Linked DNA regions of Yarrowia lipolytica. The protein of the gene in region 2 purifies or fractionates together with the protein of the main gene of each other region. This does not show direct contact. Links are inferred from orthologs where the notes say so. Each region holds a gene or a part of one and is shown on either strand. Other genes may lie near its edges. The genes, in order: YALI1_E05664g, YALI1_B20521g, YALI1_F24401g and YALI1_E16451g.

Region 1 (5,194 bases), on a different chromosome or scaffold from region 2:
ATCCTCAATATCATCATTTGTGATAATACTTTCTTCAACATTCTCTTCAACAACCCTAGGCTTCTCTATGTTTTTCTTGGTCTTCTTCTTGGTCGAGAAGATATCGTCGATGTCCATGTTCTTAAGCAGCTTCTTTCCTCCCGTGGTAGTCTTAGTAACTGTGCTTTTGGTCATCTTCTTGATCTTGTCAGATTTTGCAGGCTTCTCAGATGTGACCCTAACTAGAACCTCACCGATATCATCGGACATGACCTCAGCTCCCTTTTTAACAGCTGCATCGAGTACCTTTCCTACTGTCCTGGGTATCGGGTGAACTTGTGCTAAAAGGCTGGCAATCCTTGCCACGGTTCCTAGCAATGCAAATCCAACTGTGACGTATTGTCCTAGAGCCAGGACGCTGTAGAAGCTCCAAAAGGCAGGCTGGAGGTACCTGGTCTGGATCTTCTGGATCGATATCTTGATAGCAGTGATCAGTCGAGGAGCACGCTTCTTGGTGGCTTTGTGCAAGTCAACAATCCAGTTTGCAACCTGGGATACCCGTCGATGTAACATCGAGAAAGGCCTGAACCATTCGGCGCAATGGTGGGCATTTCGGTACCGGTAATAGAGCGAGTGGATGATCTCAGCCTCGCTCAGGAATTCGGACACCTGTAGGCCTAGTCCTGCGTTTTCCGTAGTTTTTTGAAGCTCAGCTTTGTATGCCTTTTTCGGGAACGGCGCCTCCCGGTGCTGGTCAGCATATACCGATAACATGACGTATGGTGTTGTGTCAGACTCCCAGACGACACCCAGAAATAATTATTCCTGTCCTGCATTTTCGAACTTTCATGGTGTGAGTGAGTGAAGCAGCTGGGGTGGACAATGTGGACAACACAACAAACGGTACAAGAGACAGGAGTATCGTAGAGTCAATATTCCTATATTGCAAAGGGACTCTTTTGTCAGGCTCCCAATTATTATTAATATTCTTTCATAGTTGTAGCTTTATGGTACGAATGCACTTCATAAAGTCTGGTGTTCCACGACCACAAATATTATAACCAACATCTGGACACGCTATCGCTACACTACGAGTACCAGTGGCGCTACTTGTACTTGCATCGAAATCATCAAAACCTATCATTCAGTGTGTCAAGTTTAGTTACAAAATATCTATATACAATTATCTTCCGACGTTGAGAAGAAGAGAGTTGCCAGAGGAAGCGCCATTGGATCCGTTGCCTCCCTTGGGCAGGTAAGTGACGTTGTTGGACTGGGCAAGAGTGGTGGCAATCTCCTTGGAGGCCTCGATTCGTCGAATCAAGAGCAGACCATCACCGGCCTTCTCAAGAGCCTTGGAAATGGCCTCGGCGGACTCGGCTTCTCCCTCAGCTCGGATAACGGCGGCTTGTCGCTCCTGCTCGGCCTTCTCGACGATGAATCGGGCTCGCTCGGCATCCTGCTGGGCAATTTGCTTCTGCTCAACGGCCTTGGTGAACTCCTTTCCGAAGGTCATGTGGGTAATGGAGACATCCTCGAGGGCAATGTTGAACTCACCGGCTCGCTTGACAAGATCCTCTCGAATTCGGGCGGAAACAACCTCTCGCTGGGTAATGAGCTCGGCGGCATCGAATTGAGCGACAATAGACTTGAGCACCTCGTTACCAATGGAGGGCAGGACTCGCTCGTCGTAGTCGAGACCAAGAGACTGGTAGATGTGGGGAAGCTGGGAAATGACGGGTCGGTGCAGAACTCGCAGGGTCAGAGAAACCATCTGCAGATCCTTGGATCCGGTGGTGGTGGCGATGTTTCGGGGCTTGGTTCGGACATCGAAGATAATGTCCTTCTGGAGCCAGGGAACGAGGAAGTGGGTTCCCTCTCCGATCACGTTCTGCTTGACACCGGCAAGACGGTCGAAGATGACAGCTCGGTAGCCACCACGAACGTCGTACATGGCGGACTGCATCAAGGTGATGCCAACACCGACAGGAATGGCGATGGCTGGGTTAGTATGGGGTCTCGAGATTGCGTGTTGCTGTGGATGTGCGGTGCGGCACCCCCACGCCAAGTTGGCAAACATGCCATTGTTTGGTGTCAGGATATTCGCAATGGCACATTGAACTTATGTATGGACTCATCTTCCCTTTCCAGCCTTTCAATACTCACTTGTAAGGACTCCCAATAATCTGTTGGACATGGTTGCGGTGGGGAGAAAGAGGAAATGGTGTAAAAGTTTATGTGGACGCCTCCCAGTTCAAGAGCACAACGATAATTAGGGGAGGGTTACAGTAACCGAAAACGAGGCTCAGGGGGAGTAATATCTGGAGTGTGAAAGAAGAATTGTTTCATTTTTGAAGCAGAGTTGAATCTGGCCAATCATATTTCGTTTATCCAGTTTCCAACTTGTTCCCCTGCTCACACCACTCATAACCTGTACAAGGCTATCTGAATAACTTGCATGAACATTTCAGCCGTCATAATCAGAGACTACAAGGAACTTGTAATCCACACATGCCTGTCGCCAAAGACCTGTTTCCAGAGTATGGTACTCTCGCGACCGGCGAAAATGAACCCTCTCGAAATATCCGACGTGCTCAAAAACTCAGGGAGTTCCAGAACCTCGAACTTCCACCATACCTAGCAAAGCAGGTGGCTGCCAAAATGGCAGAGAAGGGTTTGGCAGTGGAAGCCACAGGAGGTGTGGCAGTCCAGCGAATCGCAGGAGGATCTCAGAGCGGCCAGAAGGCTCTGATGGGAGCTTCTTCCTCGGCACTCACGAAACACACGCCCTCTGCAAGCCAACCAACTACACACGACAGTCTCACTAATCTCGGAGCCAACCTTACACAGTCGAAACCGGCGTGGCACGCACCATGGGAGATCTACAGAGTCATTACAGGCCATCAGGGCTGGGTGAGATCTGTTTGTGTTGAACCAGAGAACCAGTGGTTTGCTACAGGTTCTGCAGACAAGACTATCAAGATCTGGGATCTGGCTACAGGAAAATTGCGACTGACTCTCACAGGACACATTATGGGTGTTAGAGCATTGGGAGTGTCGCCACGACATCCTTACATGTTTTCGGGAGGTGAAGACAAGATGGTCAAGTGTTGGGATCTGGAAACTAACAAGGTCGTTCGACACTACCATGGCCATCTCTCTGCAGTCTACTCGCTGGACATTCATCCTACTCTGGATGTCCTAGTGTCTGCTGGTCGAGACGCTGTGGCCCGTGTGTGGGACATTCGTACTCGTGACCCTGTGGTTGTTCTCAGTGGACACAAGTCGACTATCAACAGAGTCAAGTTCCAGGCCTCTGAACCCCAGGTGATTACAGCTTCGGCAGATGAGACTGTGCGACTGTGGAACCTACAGGCCGGGAAGACCATGACAACGCTCACGCATCACAAGAAGAGTGTGCGAGGCCTCACTTTACATCCCGAGGAGTTCACTTTCTCCACGGCCTCTGCTAACTCCAGTAAGCAATGGAAGTGTCCCGAGGGCGATCTAGTGCTCAACTACGACGACCAGAACGCTATCATCAATACCCTGTCCGTTAACCAAGACAACGTCATGTTTTCGGGAGGCGACAACGGCTCTATTGGCTTTTATGACTGGAAGACTGGACATATGTTCCAGAGCACCCAGTCTATTCCCATCCCAGGATCTATCGAGAGTGAAAACGGTATTTTCGACTCCAGTTTCGACAAGACTGGTCTTCGCCTCATCACCTGTGAGGCTGACAAGAGCATCAAAATGTGGCGCGAGAAGCCCAATGCCACAGCAGAAAGTGATCCCGGTCTCGAATGGAAACCCAAGATATACCAGACCTATTAGAGGGATGGTGTATCAGAATTTCGCATATTTAATGTATTTTTAGTTACAAGTACAATTGTATTGGTTGGCGTTGTCATTCTTTTGTTTTGCTTTCCCTCCTTTTCAGCCTTCGCTCTACTTGTAGGCCAGTGGTACCAATACAGGCACAGTATATGGACCCAATTCCAGAACCATACTTATACAATTTTCATTTTTTTCCGGAAACATAAAAATGGATGGTCTCCAAATAAAAATGAAATAACAACTACATGTACATTGTACTTGTACAGTTGGATATATGTGTGTTTCACCAATATAATCGCAGATTTAATAACTGAATAATATCATATAACAAGACGATATTTCGTAAATTCCCCCCTACAGTAACTGGCACATTCCTGTCTCTATTAAGGTGGCTGTACTCATCTCCCAACATCACGTGACCATAACTATTTTCAGTTTATCAAAATTTTGTCGCCACCCGAACATCAACGAGCAATAGCGCGACGAAGCTATATAACACCCAGGCAGTTTACTGTCGCTCACAACACCTCCAAAGATGGCTCTCGCAGAAGCAGACTTGCCCAACGGCAAAACCAACGGCAAAGCCTCGGGGTCCGAGGAGACTCCTGCGCCCGTTCAGAAGGTCGACATGAACGTGGCAATCAACGAGCTCCGTGTGGGCTGCAAAGTCCACGTCGAGAAAGACGGTGAGGACCGAGTTGCTGAAATTCTCAGCGTGCAAATGAGACGTGGTAACCTCGAGTTCTATGTGCACTACGTCGAGTTCAACAAGCGTCTGGATGAGCGTATTGCGGCTACTCGAGTCGACTTGTCACAGGGTGTCATTTGGCCCGAGCCAGAGAAGCCCAAGAAGCCTCTCAGTGGTGCTGCAAAGGAGAGCAGCAAGGAGAAGAAGAAGAACCCCTCCAAGAAGCAGAAGCTCACAGATTCGGCTGCAACTACTCCTGGAGCCAATTCGGAAGATGTCATGGACCTGGACAACCTCCAGGTTAACGGCACCACCCAGGACCCCGACAATTTCAACCGTGACGAGGAGATTGAGAAGCTCAGAACTGGAGGAAGTATGACACAGAGCAGTCATGAGGTGGCTCGAGTTCGAAATTTACAGAGAATTGTTCTAGGCAATCATGTCATCGAACCGTGGTACTTTTCTCCCTATCCTATCGAGCTGACCGAAGAAGATGAAATCTACATTTGCGACTTTACCCTGTGTTATTTCGGGTCCAAGAAGCAGTTTGAGCGGTTCAGATCCAAATCCACTCTGAGACATCCTCCTGGGAACGAAATCTATCGAGATGAGGCAGTCAGTTTCTTCGAGATTGACGGCAGAAAGCAGAGAACATGGTGCCGAAACCTGTGTCTCCTTTCAAAGCTT
Region 2 (6,291 bases):
TTCTCCTGGTTTCGATTTTCACGATGCCGAGGAGTCCATGGAATACCAATGAATTGCATTTACTTTTTTATACCCATGTTCGTAATCACCGTAACATTATGGACTCACAATCCCGTAGATGCAGTACATACAGTACATAACAATGATAGCTGATTCTTGCGCCTTCAAGAAGGCGTTTTAGAGTATGTGCTTGTGTACGACGAAAAAAAAACACGCTCACCGTACAGAACAAATTATCGCAAGTACAACAGTACAACTGTAGCACCCGAAGTACTAATTTTCCTCACACATATTTTTACATCATGGTTAATTTAGTCTATTTACATTAGCTAAGATTGGTCATCAAGGCCAACAATGTCCTCAAACAGTTTCTGGCAAGGAACCTCGGCATTGAGCTTGGCACACAGAAGGAAAGCACCGGAAAGCTTTCGGTGCAGACCGTAAGTCTCTTCAGGAGGAGGGGTCAGTCGTTCCTTGAGCATGACACCAATGTTCTCTCGAACTCGATCGGTGACAGTCTGGTTGGCAAAGTTGAAGTCTCCCCCTCCGTTCTCGCCGTTAAAAGGCTCACCAAGAGTGATCATGGAGTCGATGTGGGCATTGAGCATTGCTTTCGACTCGAGACCAGTAAGGTATCCGAGTTCAAGAGAGTACTTTTCACAAGAAGCTCGATCCTTTCGAACGGCTGCTCGCAAGCAGTTGAGGTAGTCGTTAATGAACTGGTCGGAGTAGCCTCGAGAGGCACCGAAGTCGAGAAGTTCCAACTTATGGGTCTTGGGGTTGTACAGGAAGTTGGCCCAGTTGGGGTCGGTCTGCATGAATTTGAACTTCGCAATCTCCAGCAAACACAGCTCCATTATTCGGGTAGCAATCCAGTTCTTCGTGTCCTGATCCCAGGGACCCTTTACGATATCTTGGCCTCGAAGTCTCTGCATGGTCAGCACCTTGTCGGTGGAAGCCTCATGATAGACCTTGGGAACAACGTAGTCGGGGTAGTCGGCCAGGAGCTCCTGGAATCGCTCCAGGTTCTGTGCCTCCCGGATGTAGTCACACTCCCATTTGAGCTCTACTCGAGCGTTAGCAACAGTCTTGTCAAGGAATAGACCCTCGGGCAGCATGCTGGAGGCAGTCATGAGAATCATCAGGTTGTTAAGATCGGAGTCAATGGAGTCAGCCACGCCTGGGTATTGAATCTTGATGGCGACGGGCTCGTAAGAGTCTCGCAGAACAGCGGTGTTAACCTGGCCAATAGAAGCAGCGGCAATGGGCTTGTCCTCAAAGGAAGAAAAGAATTCGTTTCTCCATCCTTGGCCGAGCTCCTTGGTAAGCACCTTGTGGAGCTGCTCGGCGGGCATGTAGTTGGCACTGTTCTGGACTCGAGAGAAGATCTGCTGAATCTCAGGCGGGAAGACTCGAGAGTCCTGGAAGGATAGCTGCTGGCCAATCTTGAGGGCAGCTCCTCGCATCTGAGACAGCGACTTGACGAGACGTTCCACATTGCCGGGGGTAAGCACCAGAGATCCGGCGTGAGAGTTGTCTCCGGTGAGACGTCGGAAACCTTCACCCAGAGCACCAACACCGAGACCAGTGGCCAAAGTGCCGTAGTGGAAGAGTCGCTCGAATCGACCGGAGGGCACAGCAGAAGACATCATTTCTTCTCTGATTTCCTTCTCTCCAATGATCCGATCTTTGGGCACCTCCGCTCCAATGATCTCTTCGCCAATGGAAGGTCCCTTGTCGGAGGACGACGAATACATTCGCTTGGTGGAAGGATCCACGGAGTTGCCGTTGATTGTGGGTCGCTTGTTGTTGAAGGGATCAAAGACCATCTTGGCTGAGCTAGACCCTGATCCCAACGGACCATTGGGCACACCAGGAGTCAGGCCCGTGGGTCCTGTCTGGGCAGGAGGATCTCTAGGAATGGTTCCATTGGCAGTCGAAAGTGGAGCAGGTGGGCATCTGTGTTAGCAATCGTTCAAAAAGCGTGTCTGTCATATATTTCGATACTCACACTGAGCTCACTACACAACCCTTGAGACCGCTCACAATGGACGAGCCCTCGAGGTGGTCATGAATGGATTGCTTCTGGATATCCCAAGCCTTTTTGGAAATGTTGGCGACCGAACGGCCCAAGCCCACCAGTTCGTAATTGCGCATTTTTGTTTGATCAAGTTGCAGTCTCCAAGATGATGTTGTAGGCTGATCTTGGGAGCTGTGGTTAGGGTTGAACTGGGAGTAACGAGATTTGATAATCGGAGAGGGCGATATTTGTGAGCGGCTCAACTCCATCAGTTGCACACAACTTAGAGTGGCGGCTTCAGAGACAGAAGAGAGACAACGCCTTTCATTCTTCATGTACGATCACACTCCGTAACATTGTATCAGTGGGACTATCTTCGGATGTCAACCACCATGACCAGTATAGGTGATTAGTAAGACACGCTTGAGCAAGTATAACGAGTTGGTTTCATTTGGGGAAACTGAATAGAGCAAAAAGGAGAGTTAGCGTATGACATATTTTGCATGTTTAATACCTCCTGGTAATGTTCGTCTCTCTTCATCCCTCTTTCGGTCGTCTATCCTCCGTGTCATCTTGTCGCCACTATGATATGAACCATATAAGGTTCGAACTCTTTTTAAAAAATTCAGAAATCCTGCATAGGGCTATTTGAACTGTTGTATTCCCACCCATACTCATCATATTCATTGACGAACGATAAACCAACAGTTACAATGGAACCCGTGAGCAAAAAGCCCAAGACTGACGAAGAGGAAATCGTCGAAGACTATGAGGTTGAGGAGTATGTTCCCGACAACACCCTCGTTGAGTTGGCGTCTGGACTGACCCGACTCCAGACCACAGCCGATGAAGGCATGAAGCACGAAGATGGACCTAACAACATGTTCAACGGAAAGGAGCTGTCGACAAAGTATTTCGATATCCTTAAGGTCCGACGAGACTTGCCCGTCCATGTTCAGCGACAACAGTTCCTCGATACCTTCCACTCTACTCAGATCATGGTGTTCGTTGGTGAGACTGGATCTGGTAAGACTACCCAGATCCCTCAGTTTGTGTTGTTTGATGATCTCCCTCAGCTGCAAGGTAAGATGGTTGCCTGTACGCAGCCCCGTCGAGTTGCAGCCATGTCTGTTGCCAAGCGTGTGGCTGATGAGATGGATGTGAGACTTGGCGAGGAAGTTGGTTACTCCATTCGATTCGAGGATAAGACCAGCCCCAAGACTCTTCTCAAGTACATGACTGATGGTATGCTTCTGCGAGAGGCCATGCACGACCACAACCTGTCTAGATACTCATGCATTATTCTCGATGAGGCCCACGAACGTACTCTGGCTACAGATATCCTCATGGGTCTGATCAAGCAAGTAGCTGTCCGACGGCCCGATCTTAAGATCATTGTCATGTCCGCCACACTGGACGCCCAGAAGTTTCAGTCGTACTTCAACGACGCTCCTCTCCTGGCTGTTCCCGGTCGAACCCACCCCGTCGAGATCTACTACACTCCCGAGTTTCAGCGAGACTACCTTGAGAGTGCTCTTCGAACTGTTCTCCAGATCCATGCCACCGAGCCCGAAGGAGATATTCTGCTATTCTTAACCGGTGAGGAGGAAATTGAAGACGCTTGCCGAAAGCTCAAGCTCGAGTCCGACGAGCTCACCCGTGAGTCTGGCTGTGGTCCTCTTAAGGCCTACCCCCTGTACGGCTCTCTGCCCCCCAACCAACAGCAGAAGATTTTCGACGACGCTCCTCCTGGAGGACGAAAGGTTATTGTCTCCACCAACATTGCTGAAACTTCGCTTACCATTGACGGTATTGTATACGTCGTCGACACCGGCTTCTCCAAGCAGAAGGTGTACAACCCTCGAATCCGAGTTGAGTCTCTGCTTGTGGCTCCCATCTCAAAGGCGTCTGCCCAGCAGCGAGCTGGCCGAGCTGGCCGAACCCGACCTGGTAAGTGTTTCCGACTCTACACCGAGGATGCCTTCAAGAAGGAACTCAACGAGCAATCCTACCCCGAGATTCTGCGATCCAATCTTGCCAGCACTGTTCTGGAGCTCAAGAAGCTGGGCATTGACGATCTCGTTCACTTTGACTTCATGGATCCCCCTGCTCCCGAAACTATGATGCGAGCTCTGGAAGAACTCAACTACTTGACTTGTCTTGACGACGATGGAAACCTCACCGAGCTCGGTCGACTTGCTTCCGAGTTCCCCCTGGACCCCATGCTGGCCGTAATGCTCATCTCCTCACCTGACTACTACTGCTCCAACGAGATTCTGTCTTTGACTGCTCTTCTGTCCGTGCCCAACGTGTTTGTTCGACCCAACAACGACCGAAAGGCTGCCGACGAGGCCAAGAACAGCTTTGCTCATCCCGACGGTGACCATCTAACTTTGCTGAACGTCTACCACGCATACAGATCTGACGAAGCCCAGGCTGACCCCAACGAATGGTGCTACCAGAACTATCTGTCTCTGCGATCTCTGCAGTCTGCCGACAACGTGCGAGCTCAGCTCAAGCGACTGATGGAGAAGAATGGACTGGAGCTCATGTCCACTCCCTACGAGGACCGAAACTACTACACTAACATCAGAAAGGCTCTTACTGCCGGATACTTCATGCAAGTGGCCAAGAAGAGTTCTCAGGGAGGCAAGAACTCTTACACCACCGTTAAGGACAACCAGGACGTGTTGATCCACCCCTCTTCGGTGCTTGGCCAGGACTCCGAGTGGGTGATTTATAACGAGTTCGTTCTAACCACTAAGAACTACATTCGAACCGTCACTGGCATTCGACCGGAGTGGCTATTGGAGATTGCTCCTGTCTACTACGATCTGGACACCTTCCGAAAGGGCGACATCAAGATGTCTCTCGAGCGAGTGTACAAGAAGCTGGAGGCGAAGAAATAGACGGTGGCGCTAACACGCAAGTGGAGGACAAAATAATGTATAATGGTAATCGATAGATATAGATTTTGACTGCGGGCTCGTAAGCATGTGATTGTGGGCCCGGACGTTGTAAATTTATTGGGGAACTCGGGCTTGGCTGTTCCACATGGTCGTCGTTGAGAGCATTTTAGGTGTTAGATTTTTGTTTATTTTATAATCACATAATGCATTATGCATTATGAATGGCTTAACTGATTATTTAACAAAACTTGCACTAATTTGACTATTTCCCTAACTGATTAGTTGATTATTAAGGCTCACTAGTAGCACATAAAATGCGAGCATCAGCATTCAGAATAGTGATCCGAAATGCGTTACTACCACGTTGATTACTACCCTGCAAGACACTCTCCGGAGTTTTTCCTTCAACTACTATACAGTGGTACCATGGTTGTAGTTAACAATACAATGTGTGTACAGTAATTAGCTACCAAAACACGTTCACCATCATTAAACTTCCAACATACAGCCAGTCTCATTTGTCTCACCTTCACTGCTCAACTTTCTCATCTTCAACTCACGCCATAATGAACATTAATATCACGCCAGAAACGCCTCAGACGTCTTCCACGGCGCAAGGGACATCGTCCAACAACGCAGGCTCTGGGAATACTCGCATCCAGTTCTCTCGAGGCAACAGTCGAAGCTCAGGGCTACGGGTACCTTCCCTTCGAGGGGAAGACTCAGAGGCCGCGGAAGATTCAGATGCAGAGGCTCCTGATGCGAGGTATTCTGCTGGAAGCAGTGGAAGGCGACGTGTGGACACTCATGACAAGTTGTGGGCCGAAATTGACATTCTGAACGAGGTGCAACGCATCTCTCAACTCACACAGTCCGACAAGGGTTTCTTCGGCAAGGCCCACTCAGATGCAGTGAACCAGCTGCGACAGACACAAATCAATCTTGCACGTGCTCTATCTAACATCGATAAGCGAATGGACAAGTATGAGATCGCAGAGGCAGGCGATATCGACACTATTAAGCGAACACTTTTCAACCCTGAACACTTCGAGCAGGTGAACCATAACGTTGAGCAATCGTTCATTAAATTGCAGGCGGTAGGAGAAGCCATGAAGGAGGCTCATGACAGAGAGAACTGGGACGAGAGTTAGATGGGGGATTTCCGTTTATTTATTCAATATGTATTCTCAAGACATGAGCGCAGCGCGCACTCGCATGTACTGATAGCGATAGACATCGGGTAGATATAGCACCACAAACGAGGAGTATACATATTCCTCCAGATATCCCCAAGTTACTAATTAGTACAGTATCAACGTTCATTCTGCACCTTGCAATTCTCATATAGGTAACGCACTACAT
Region 3 (5,983 bases), on a different chromosome or scaffold from region 2:
GAGGAAAGACGCTGAAGAAGATGGAGCAGGAATCAGGCGCCAAAATCTGCATTCGAGGCAGAGGCAGTGTTAAGCAGGGCAAGGGACGAACAGACATCCCCTTCCAGTCCACTGCCGAGGATGACCTTCACTGTCTGATCATCTCAGAGGACGAAGAGAAGATTGCTCGGGCAGTCCAGCTGGTCCAGCAGGTCATCGATACTGCTGCTAGTGTTCCTGAGGGCCAGAACGAGCTCAAGAGGTCTCAGCTGCGAGAACTGGCTGCTCTCAACGGTACTCTTCGAGATGACGAAAACTACGGTGGCGCTCCCCAGTCGTCTTCTGGAGACGAGATGGACGACCGCAACAAGCGACGAAACAACTTCATGTCGTCTATTGTTTGCCATATTTGCGGCTCCAAGGGGCATTTCGCCCGGGACTGTCTCGAGAAGGGCACCAACGCTGGCACGTCTGAGAATGCCGACAGAGAGTACGACGCTCTGATGCGAGAGCTCCAGGGAGAAGGAGTCATTGACACTGCCTCTCAGCAGCAGTCCATTGCTCAGAACCCCAACACTAACAACGTGTCCAAGTTGCCCCCTGCTGTGACTGGCTCCAACGCTGCTCCCATCAATATGCGAAAGCCCATGAGCGAGAGAGGAGGGTCGTTTGATAGATTTGACCGAGGCGGCTTCAACCAGTCCAACCAGCGAGAGCCCCAACAGCAGAGCCACCAGCAAAACATGCACAACACTAACGGAAACAACTATGACCGATACGACCGCAACTTTAACAACTCGTCCAACTCGTCGCCCGAACTCCCTCCTTGGCACAGACCCACACCTCCCTCGCAGCCTGCTGCTCCCCCGTGGCTGCGACGTGACAACTACAAAAAGCACGACAAGGTATCTGTTCAGCAGTCGATGCAGCAGTCGCCGTGGAATCGCGACACCCGTCAGCACCAGCATCAGCACCAGCCCCCCGTGCACCACCAGTCTATGTTTAATAACAACCAGTCTCCCATCGGGCCCCCTGGTATGTCGTCTTCTGGCTTTGGTGGTTACGGTGGCGCTCCTGCTGGTGTGCCCGGCATGTCTGTGCCTCCCGGACCTCCTGGTCTTTCTAAAGTTCCTCCTCCCCCTCCTCCTCCTGGGGTGCCTGGAATGGATGGAGACCAGCCCATTCGTCATCCCCCGCCTCCTCCTCCCGGAGTTATCGGGCCCCCAAAATAAAAAAACTACTAACATGTATACTAATGGATTTGGATCTTAGACTCGTATATCATTTTGTCCGTAGGCTTGTATTTTGTACAAAAAATTTTGATAAGTTTTTTATATTATAATATATATATATATTTTACTGCAATCTTTTCAAACCTTATTTAGCAGTAATTCTGAAGAGCGAGTGTCTTTGGTACATCCTGTACACACAATGCTGTACTTGTAGCTTGGTGATAGCTTGGTGATAGTGGCGCAGGGTGGAGTAACATGAATAAGGGATCGCAGCTAGTGTTATACAACGATTCTATTATACATATACAGATAAATACATAGTTGGCTCCCACAGTCAAGACTGATTCTGAAGCTTCCATTTTCGAGCATTCTCCAGGAGCTTGGAGAACGACTTGTCCTCCTCGTCGGTGGGGAAGACGTAGTCGATGTACTCCTCGAAGGTGCCATCCTCCAGCTTTCGCTTCTTCTTGACAGGAGTGGGCTTTCGCTTGTCCAAATCCGCCTTAGACTTGTCATCTCCATGCTCCTCTTCAAACTCACGCCATGATTCAAACAGAACCACTCGCTCCTCTCGCTTGTTGGCGGCCTTGAGAGCGTCCCAGGCCTCGCCAAAGATACTTCGTGCGCGTGCCTTTGCTTCTTCAGTGACCTCAATCTCGGCCTCTCCCTCGTCGTTGTATTGCAGCTCCTGGTCTTCAGCAGGAACAGTGACCTCAAACTGGGCAAACGAGATCCACACCTTGATGTGACCGTGGGTTCGATCAAGAAGCTGTCGGTAGATGGCTCGTGCTCGGTCGTAGTTCTCCTCTTCAGCCTCGAACTCAATAAACCGTTTCCACACAAGTTCAGGCATCTCCATCTCGGGCTGCGACACAGCTAGCTCAAAAATAGCACGAGCTCGCTCCTCGTCACCAAGCATCTGCTCCAGCTCCGCATACTCCATCCACGGAGCAGCAAACTCGGCAAATTTCTCCACATACTTGTCGTAGAGCTTTCGACACCGGTCAAACTCACGCAGTTTGGCCTCCAGAGCAATGTATCCCTTGTACAGCGCAGGTTTGCCCCCCGACATGCCCAGTCCTCGGCCTAGGATCTTACGAGCCTCTGGCAGATTGCCATGTCGAATCTCAAACTTGGCCCATAGTAACCACACTTTGGCGAATGTGAACTTTTTGTGTGGGATGATAGATATGCATGTTTTGTAGATTTCACCGGCCTTTTCAACCTCCTTGTTCTCAAGCTCCTCCCAGATGGCATACTTGATCCACAGAAAGATGTACCGTCTCCAAAGACGCTTGGAATGTGGGGGAACGTTAGAAACAGCACGTTCAAAGATCTCACGAATCTGATCGGCCTCAAGACCACTTTCCTGACCTAGAGTGATGTAAGAGAACCACGTATCGTAGTCTGCAGGGTCCTCCTTCAACTGATCCTCGTACTTGGATCGTCTTTTAGTGAGAACCACATTCTCAATACCCTCCTTGGCTCCATACTGTTTCTCAAAGGCCGTGTAGTCAGCATACAGCTTTGCAGACTTGCTTTTGGGCAGCTTCTCGAGTCCATAAGTGTACAGAGCTCTTGCTCTTTCGTACTCCCTATGACGAGTCTCAAAACTCGCCCATCCAGCCAGCAGACTCTCATCCAGAAAGTCCACGCCTCCATGCGCCATTTCCACCAATGTGTCGATTCCCAGAGCATACACCTCCCTGACGGTGTCTCTGTTTCCTGCCTCCATCTCAAACTTGGCCCATTTGTTCCATGCTGGTGCACCTGGATGAACAGTGACATATCGTCTCAGAATGCCCCGCGCACGGTCAAACTCACGATATCGCTTCTCCATGTTCACGTAAGCTGCCCAGGCGGTCACCGGCGGCCTCCAATGCATCCATCTCTCAAACACGGCTCTGCAGCCGGCAATGTTGCCCAGCGTCTCCTCTGTAGCCACGTATGTGAACCACAGCTTGTCGACACGCGGCAGGAGTGTGACGGCTCTGTCCAGCAGGTTTCGTGCGTGGTTGATGTTCTTCTCCTTGAGCTCGCACTGAATGTATCGGATCCAGGTGGGCACATGCGTTGGGTTGACCTCGAGAGCTCGTTCAAATACAGATCTGGCACGTGCAAACTCCCGTTGCTCCAGCTCCCACTGCGCGTACCGCATCCACTGGCCGGTGTTCAGTCGATTTCGTCGCAAGGCTCCCTCATACTCCTGTCGTTTGCGGCCTTGGTACTCTGCCAGCTCTTCCAGATCGGCAATCTGCTCTGTCTGCTGAAGAGGCGTCTCCTTTCGCTCATATGCCTCCAGCAAAATCTGCTCTGCAGAAATCTGCAACGCGGCGGGCGCTTTGTTTTTCACCCTTCCTTCCATACCGGTGTGGTGTTTCGAGGTCGTATATGGCGTCAATATTTTTTGGTGATGATTCTGCGAAGGTTTTATTTGCAGTGATAACTAAGCTTCGTCGAGTCAACATGAGATGAGCGGAACAGTGTGAACGCATCTTGACTTGTGGAAATCAGTATATATAGACATATAGACAAGTACTACCTCCAACACCTAATGCTAAGAGATACATTTGTTTTCCCGTCTGTTTTGTCGGTCTATTCTATCTTTATATCGATACTGGCGCCACAATACAGGAACAAGTATTGTATGTAACTACGTACTTACAGAACATACTGTAGCTACAGTAGCTAGTTGTATGGCAACCAAAAAGACTACAAGTATTACAAGTAGCTACTACCTATTCACATCTATACCTAATTCCACATATGTTCATCCAGTAGCACGTAGTTCACGCTGCCCCATCCCACATCCTCTAATCAGTCAATTATCAATACATTAGTTGCCGCCTCGAAGGGCCAGGACCAGATGCAGAGAGGCTCCAGCTTCAATCTTGTTCTCCGCAATGGTCTTCTCGTCCTGGAGCTGCTTTCCGGTGAAAACGAGACGCTGCTGGGCGGGAGGAATACCCTCGAGTTCCTCGATCTTCTCCTTGAGAACGGAGATCTGAGTTAGTCCTGTTTGAGTGGTGACGGGATAGGTGCGAACAGGTCCGTAAGTGAACCTTGCATTTGTAGGATCGTGATAGAGAACAGCACTTTCCCATGACTTTTTCCCCTTATCGTGTCTCATTCATGCCAACTTCATCGTGGCACGCACGCGTGACCACTTCGCAACAGTCCCCCCAGTCCCTCCATCTCTTCATACTCACCTGATCTTCGGGCTCAACGTCCATCTCAATCTGTGTTAGCTTCGTCGTCACACACTGGCCGCAACAGTGTTCCAAATGTCATTTCATCTAGGAATGTTACTGCTGGGTGTATATCGTGGTTCAGGACTCACCTCCTTTCCAATGAGTGTCTGTGTTAGCATTTCCAAGTTAGCGCACCGCAAGCACGAATCTGCGGGGAGGATGCGCACAATGAGTTCTTTCGAGTCCCCAATCATGTACCCCGCGGTCTCCCCAAATCATACTCACCTTGATCTTGATCTTCATGTTGCGTGGCTTGTATAGTGGTTGAGGTTGAGTTGCAGCTGGAACGAGTTTAAGTTGCATGCGAATATATATTTTGGCATGCACAACCACCAAAGAATATCGTAGTCTAGACACCACCCAGAAATGTCGTTTCCAACACCTTCCACGTCATCAGCCAACTATGAAGAGGTCTACGAGCCCAGCGAAGACTCCTTCATGCTCCTGGACGTGCTGGAAATGGAACAGAGCTACATCAACAGCCATCTGTCATACCCTGTGGTGACAGAGATCGGAACCGGATCAGGCATCGTCACCACCTTCATGCTGAAATCCGTGGTGCCCAAAGGCGTTTTTTTGGCTACAGATATCAGCCCCTTTGCATGCAACCAGGTTCTGGCCACGTCAAAAGAAAACAACGGCACCCAGTACCTCGAGGCGCTTCGTGGAGAACGTACCACAATGATGAGACCTCATACCATCGATCTACTGGTCTTCAACCCTCCATATGTGCCAGACGACAAGCCCGTAGAACCCTACCCGGAGACAGATGGTGACTGGGTCGATTGGGCACTTCTTGGAGGTGAAGACGGAATGCAGGTGACTTGGAAGGTGCTACTAGAACTGAAGACCATACTGTCAAAGAACGGAATCGCCTACATTTTGTTCTGTGCAAGCAACAAGCCAGAACAAGTGGCTGTCAAAATGAGGGAACTGGGATGGATCGTGACGCGCATTGTTGAAAGAAAAGAAGGCAGGGAACTTCTAAGTGTCTACAGATTCGAGCTGAAGTAGTAGACCATCATTGCATATTAATTACATTTTTTCACACGCATACATATCATTCATTCATTAATCTATTTAGTATAATATATCATCTTTACTCCTGGATATCGGCCAAGAGATCCAGCTCACAAGCCTCCTGATCAGTCTCCTTGAGAGCGTAAACACTTTCGTAGTTGTAAATGGAGAGCCGGTCAAAGAAAGGCTTTAGCTGTGCAAGAGAGGTAAGAGAACCAATCTTCTGTCCAAAAAGCAAAGGCCGTCGCTTGGAAGTCTCCTCCAGATGAAGATCATCACTGCTGACAGGCGTAGACTCAGCCAACTGATCCAGAATACCGTAAGGGTGTCCGTAAATAGCATCACTGGAATCGGTGACAAACAGCCATTGATCCAGCTGGAAATCCTCCTGGTTAAGCACCAGCACAAGATCGAGCAGCTTACAGGCACTCATCACGATTCGGTTATCCGTCTCCTTACCTTGCAGCAGACCCTCGAATATAACCTGCAGGTTGTGGGCAA
Region 4 (5,593 bases), on a different chromosome or scaffold from region 2:
TGTCGTCGAGGGGCAGGTCGTTCTTGACGTAGTGCAGGGTGCCAGCAGAAGTACCAGCACAACAGATGGGATCGTAGGACTGGTTCTTGGAGCCCTGTCGGATGGAGTGGTAGATAAACTCGGCATGGATATGGCCCTCGTTCTTCTCAATGGGAAGAGCAGACATGACGGCTAGATGCGAGTTGTCGGTGATCTCGGAGGCGTGTCGCATGAGAGCGAGCTCGTGTGAGTCCTTAATGGCTCGAGCCTCGTCCAGCGCGTCCAGCAAAGGCTGAGACATGGTCACGGCGTCTCGCTTGTCGTAGGTCTCGACACTGATGAGCTTCTTGCCCTTGAGGTCGCTCTCCAGGTGGTTCATGTACTTGATTTCGTCCACGTCAGACACGGCTCGGATCTGTTCGGGAGACAGCGGCAGGCCGGACCACATGACCTCCTCGTCGTCAATCTCGGGAATGTAAAGAGTGATCTTGTCGTCCTTGGCGGAGTAGGTGACAATGGCGTCGGGGGCCTCGTAGCCCGTCAGATAGTAAAAGTACCGGTGCTGTCTGAGAGGCACGGTCTGGTCCGAATGGGGCCACAGGGTGGTTTTGGCAGCTTCAATGTACCACAGAGCGTCGTCGGAAGCTCCGGAAGCTTTGAGGTGTTGCGCGGCCTTGAGGGCGTGGGCCTTGGCGGGGTATTGGTCGACGGTCATGATTGTGTGAAGAGAGGAGATGTGGAGAAAGAGAGGTGTTAGCCGATACTTGTATCCGGATCAAACTCTAAGATTTAGTTGCACGAACGGCACTGGAGATGCAGTTGAGCGGTGGACCAAATGCAGGTAGAAAGGGTAGGAGTAGGCGATCGGAGTCCGACCGTATGAATAATCTGTACGAGGAGTAGGATACGCACACTACCGAGTCCTTTTGCTTAGTAATATACCATGTCTTGTCTTGCCGCGAGCCCACTGTATATAATAATGGCCTACTTGTACGAGCACTGTATTTTCTTGGGTGAAATTTCACTTCTGTCATCCTGACTTGGACCGGATACAAGAAGACATGTTCCGAGAGAGACATCATGTGTATGTATGATGGCATGTACGTGGAGAAAGACAACTGTGGAGTACAGCAATTAGTCATTCAGCTGCTGTACGTACAGTCTTGTAGGTTGTGGTATGGTGTGACTACTAGTTCCGATCCCGTTCCTGTTGTATCGAGACACTTCTATTAGGGAGATGTATGCCTCTCACTTTGATGATCTTGTATTGTATCAGACCCCATTGAGAAATCACCTGTAACATGGCCAAAGGCGAAGTGCTAGTCCTTGGGGATATCTCCAGGTCTCCGTTGTATCCCCTTTTTTTTCCTCCGTGTAGATCTGTCTGCTATATTATAGTCACTGGACTCCATGTCCAGTCAGACTCTGAATGTCCTCTCGTACACTACATACTGTACATACTCCTTCGTCAGTCCATGAAGCATTGTTACGAAGAAGAAAATGAAAAAAATGGCACTTTCAATATATCAAATTGATGGGCTCGCATAGGAGCTTCGATTTAGCTGCTTTCGGCATCTTTTTCACTATTTTTTGTCTCGTTTATCTTTGGTGATCACTGCCTGTTCCCCGGGATGGACTAGTAGACACCTAAACCGGCCATTTTTGACAAAGGTGTGATATAAATCTCGTATGCTAGTTGTTGTTGGTCACGTATACTTCCTATCTATGTCTTCTTCGCCCCCCATTGTCATACAAAAATGGTCTCTTCTGGACCCCTTCCATTCACCTCTCAGCTCCCATACCGCTTCTACTGTAAGTACGAATCCTCACAAACTTGTCCAGTTGCCAAATGCCACAACACTCTCCTCAGTCGCTTAATAATCGAGATACGAGCATATAACTCGAACTGGTGATATAATACGTGACCTTACTCACCCTTCGTCGATAAATACCTCGTAAGAGCACCTGAACTGACTCCCCCTTCACCCACCATTCACCATCTTGACGCATCCTAGAACCTTAAGTTCAGAGCAGTCTTGAAGTGATGGGCAACCCAGCCATGAGCCCTTTCAGTGAGTGTCAGCAAAGTGTGGCCGGGGTTTGAACATCCGGGCCATGGAGATGCTGCCATGACCACGTACCTATATATACCTGTATTTGTACTGTTTATGTTGTCACACTCCATACGACACTCCAATTGCCTATATGCCTACAATCTAGCTCACGCAACGCAGTCACTGATTTGTGGCGATATAAGTACAATAAACGTAGATCGAGCATCAAAATACCGGCCAAAACACCTCCAAACCCACGTCACACACCCACAAACCACCTTGTCAAGTGAATGACCAGAATATATCTCCCCGGTACCCTAACCGCCACCCTAACCCCATACCCTAATGCAGAAGGACTCGTCCCAATCCTGGCCGCTCCCCTAATCCAAACCCAAAGTACAAAAATTCTGCGCAGTGAAAAAAAAATTGAAACTCACATTGAGAGCTTCTCCTACATATCGACCTAGCAACACTATCGACATGTCTGCTGTTGTTCAGGAACAAACCGACTATCTCATCAAGCCCGAGAATGTTGGCCCCTCGGCCGACACCTCTGAGTGGCCCCTTTTGCTCAAGAACTACGACAAGCTGCTTGTGCGGTCCGGTCACTACACCCCCATCCCCACCGGATGTTCTCCTCTGAAGCGAGACCTCAAGTCGTACATTGCTTCCGGTGTCATCAACCTCGACAAGCCCTCCAACCCCTCTTCCCATGAGGTTGTTGCCTGGATCAAGCGAATCCTGCGATGCGAGAAGACCGGTCACTCTGGTACTCTGGATCCCAAGGTTACTGGATGTCTGATTGTGTGCATCGACCGAGCCACCCGTCTGGTCAAGTCCCAGCAGGGAGCCGGAAAGGAGTACGTGTGTATCGTGCGACTCCACGATGCTCTTGAGGACGAGAAGGAGATGGCCCGTGGCCTCGAGAACCTCACTGGAGCCCTGTTCCAGCGACCTCCTCTCATTTCCGCCGTCAAGCGACAGCTGCGAGTCCGAACCATCTACGACTCCAAGCTGCTTGAGTTTGACAACGACCGACACCTCGGTGTCTTCTGGGCCTCCTGTGAGGCCGGTACCTACATGCGAACCCTGTGTGTGCATCTGGGTATGCTGCTCGGTGTTGGAGGCCACATGCAGGAGCTGCGACGAGTGCGATCCGGTGCTCTCGACGAGTCCGACGGAATGGTCACCTTGCACGACATTCTCGATGCCCAGTGGCTCTACGACAACACCAAGGACGAGTCGTACCTGCGACGATGCATCCGACCCCTTGAGTCTCTGCTGCTCGGCTACAAGCGAATTGTAGTCAAGGACTCCGCCGTCAACTCCATCTGTTACGGCGCCAAGCTCATGCTTCCCGGTGTTCTCCGATACGAGGAGGGCATTGAGCTGGAGGACGAGATTGTGCTCATCACCACCAAGGGTGAGGCCATTGCTCTTGGTATTGCCCAGATGACCACCGTCGACCTTGCTTCCTGCGACCACGGTGTCGTGTCTCGAATCAAGCGATGCATCATGGAGCGAGACACCTACCCCCGACGATGGGGATTGGGACCCGTTGCTACCGAGAAGAAGAAGCTCAAGGCCGACGGTAAGCTCGACAAGTACGGTCGACCCAACGAGAGCACTCCTGCCGATTGGAAGAAGAGCTACGTGGACCACACTGAGGACGAGCCCGTCACCAAGCCCGTTGTCGCTTCTGTGACCGAGACCATTGCTGTCGAGGCCCCCAAGAAGGAGGTCGAGGCTGATGTCTCCATGGCCGCCGACTCTGACGATGAGGAGGAGGACAAGAAGGAGAAGAAGAAGGAAAAGAAGGACAAGAAGGACAAGAAGGAAAAGAAGGAAAAGAAGGAGAAGAAGGAGAAGAAGCGAAAGGCCGAGGACTCCGACGACGAGGGCGAGAAGAAGAAGAAGAAGAAGAAGAGCAAGGATTAGTGTCTGCATGTAAATTATGTTATTATTTGGTTCCGACAAAAAGGTGCAAAGTGGCTTGGACTGAAGAGTGGAAGGGTAGATTGTCAGTGTGAATACTAAAGAAGAGTGGCAGTAGAAGATGGCTAAGATTTGTATGGATTCTGGTTCTGTATTGAAGCTAGGCTCATCACGCGGTATGAGGCCTACAGAGACAAGAGGTGGTATGTGGACGAAAAAATCATGTTGAGAAAGTTGACTGCGAGTATGCGTACAGTTGATGATGTGACACCCCTTGAATACCGTCTGATTGAATACCCAACTGTTAACAGAAGGCGGTTTCACGGAGAGCATGGCAGTGTAAACAACAGAGAAGTTATGGCCAACCAACCTGGGCCAAGAAGCTGGTCAAAGGCTTCTTCGTTCCATCCAACTTACGTACTCAGATTGACCATCTATCGGGCTACCCGGATATCGACCCCGAGTGGCTCCAAGCTCTGGATGAGCGTGGCATTTCCCTTGACCGTCAGCCTGAAGAACTTCAGCCATGTGAAAAACTTCAAGCGCTGTGGCGACATGGCTTCCGACCAGCGTTGTCGCTCGAGGAGCACACCCGATGGATTCGCAACACCTGCGTCGCCTCCCTGATCAAATGAGACAACGTTGGTAAGTACGGAGGCTACTTGGTCAACTGGCTCGGCTGTAACAGTAATTGTCACCCAAGCTCCCTCTCCGGAGGCATGTTCACAGCCCACTTGGACGAGCTCAGAGCACAGGCTTCTAGTATCGGTACAGGTGCGTACCAGCAATAACTACTGTATCTTCGTGATGTTAAGATGTCTCTACGACCTGAAGATGCGTCCACGACCACCACCTGAAGATGAACCTCTATTTCCCACTCTAACCAACCCATCTTCTTGACCTCAGTTCTGTAGGAGATGTAAAGTCGATGAAAAAAGTTCTCATAACTACACTACTCGTACTCGTACCGTAAAGCACAATGTACAAACATCCCTAGTACACCAATGCAAACAGCCACTCGTCGTCAAATCACACATCAGCTTGCAAGAAGTTGTGTCACAATGCTCTTCTGTTGAATTCGACAGATTCGCTGAACTCGACAGATTCGCTGAACTCGACAGATTCGTTCAACTCGACAGATTCTAGAATGTTCCAGAACCCACATCCAGAACCCACATGCCTCGTACAAGACGATAATCCCTCTGAACACTTGACGGGCCGTCGACGTGATTGTACATGTACATGAAAAATGCCCTCCAAACGTCACCGCTTATCTGCCCACGTCGATTGCACATTTAGTTTGCTAATTATGCTAAAAAGCCTTCAAAATGTCGTCGACAGCACAATACCAACTTCTTCAGCAGAGCCGTCAGAAGCCCCAAATGAAGGCGCTCAGAAGTCCCATCAGCTCAATTGGACGTTAAAAGACATTCTACATGTTTTCCTACCCTCCAAACCTCCCCCTGATCCCTATAAACACCTCCATGTCCTCTTTACACCCGCCAAACCTCACCAACTAAATCATCCTTAGAGTTGCACTAAGGCTGCAGTAATGAGTTGTTCATGCACACGTACAATTGTCTCCATGATCATGCTATCATTTATTAATTCTTACATGTGAATGC

Evidence for each region.
Region 1: the proteins of YALI1_B20521g (region 2) and YALI1_E05664g purify together in Saccharomyces cerevisiae (affinity purification with mass spectrometry, with the first as the bait; 3 studies listed by BioGRID). This does not show direct contact. The link is inferred for Yarrowia lipolytica from reciprocal best matches to the Saccharomyces cerevisiae genes PRP43 and PRP46.
Region 3: the proteins of YALI1_B20521g (region 2) and YALI1_F24401g purify together in Saccharomyces cerevisiae (affinity purification with mass spectrometry, with the first as the bait; 3 studies listed by BioGRID). This does not show direct contact. The link is inferred for Yarrowia lipolytica from reciprocal best matches to the Saccharomyces cerevisiae genes PRP43 and CLF1.
Region 4: the proteins of YALI1_B20521g (region 2) and YALI1_E16451g purify together in Saccharomyces cerevisiae (affinity purification with mass spectrometry; 3 studies listed by BioGRID). This does not show direct contact. The link is inferred for Yarrowia lipolytica from reciprocal best matches to the Saccharomyces cerevisiae genes PRP43 and CBF5.

The regions. Positions count from the first base shown.
Region 1 is NC_090774.1:563,709-568,902, reverse strand, and holds YALI1_E05664g (uncharacterized protein), read left to right. Parts: upstream 1-2,490; coding exon 2,491-3,816; downstream 3,817-5,194. Other genes in the region: YALI1_E05681g (uncharacterized protein), read right to left, coding at 1-753; YALI1_E05668g (uncharacterized protein), read right to left, coding at 1,163-2,059; YALI1_E05645g (uncharacterized protein), read left to right, coding at 4,355-5,194. UniProt on the Saccharomyces cerevisiae protein: Involved in pre-mRNA splicing. May also be required for cell cycle progression at G2/M.
Region 2 is NC_090771.1:2,048,574-2,054,864, reverse strand, and holds YALI1_B20521g (uncharacterized protein), read left to right. Parts: upstream 1-2,733; coding exon 2,734-4,929; downstream 4,930-6,291. Other genes in the region: YALI1_B20577g (uncharacterized protein), read left to right, coding at 1-52; YALI1_B20527g (uncharacterized protein), read right to left, coding at 330-1,959, 2,012-2,157; YALI1_B20493g (uncharacterized protein), read left to right, coding at 5,496-6,080. UniProt on the Saccharomyces cerevisiae protein: Pre-mRNA processing factor involved in disassembly of spliceosomes after the release of mature mRNA.
Region 3 is NC_090775.1:2,436,534-2,442,516, forward strand, and holds YALI1_F24401g (uncharacterized protein), read right to left. Parts: upstream 3,577-5,983; coding exon 1,546-3,576; downstream 1-1,545. Other genes in the region: YALI1_F24359g (uncharacterized protein), read left to right, coding at 1-1,211; YALI1_F24408g (uncharacterized protein), read right to left, coding at 4,048-4,341; YALI1_F24413g (uncharacterized protein), read left to right, coding at 4,829-5,476; YALI1_F24469g (uncharacterized protein), read right to left, coding at 5,562-5,983. UniProt on the Saccharomyces cerevisiae protein: Involved in pre-mRNA splicing and cell cycle progression. Required for the spliceosome assembly by promoting the functional integration of the U4/U6.U5 tri-snRNP particle into the U1-, U2-dependent pre-spliceosome.
Region 4 is NC_090774.1:1,642,614-1,648,206, forward strand, and holds YALI1_E16451g (uncharacterized protein), read left to right. Parts: upstream 1-2,513; coding exon 2,514-3,971; downstream 3,972-5,593. Other genes in the region: YALI1_E16433g (uncharacterized protein), read right to left, coding at 1-694. UniProt on the Saccharomyces cerevisiae protein: Catalytic subunit of H/ACA small nucleolar ribonucleoprotein (H/ACA snoRNP) complex, which catalyzes pseudouridylation of rRNA. This involves the isomerization of uridine such that the ribose is subsequently attached to C5, instead of the normal N1.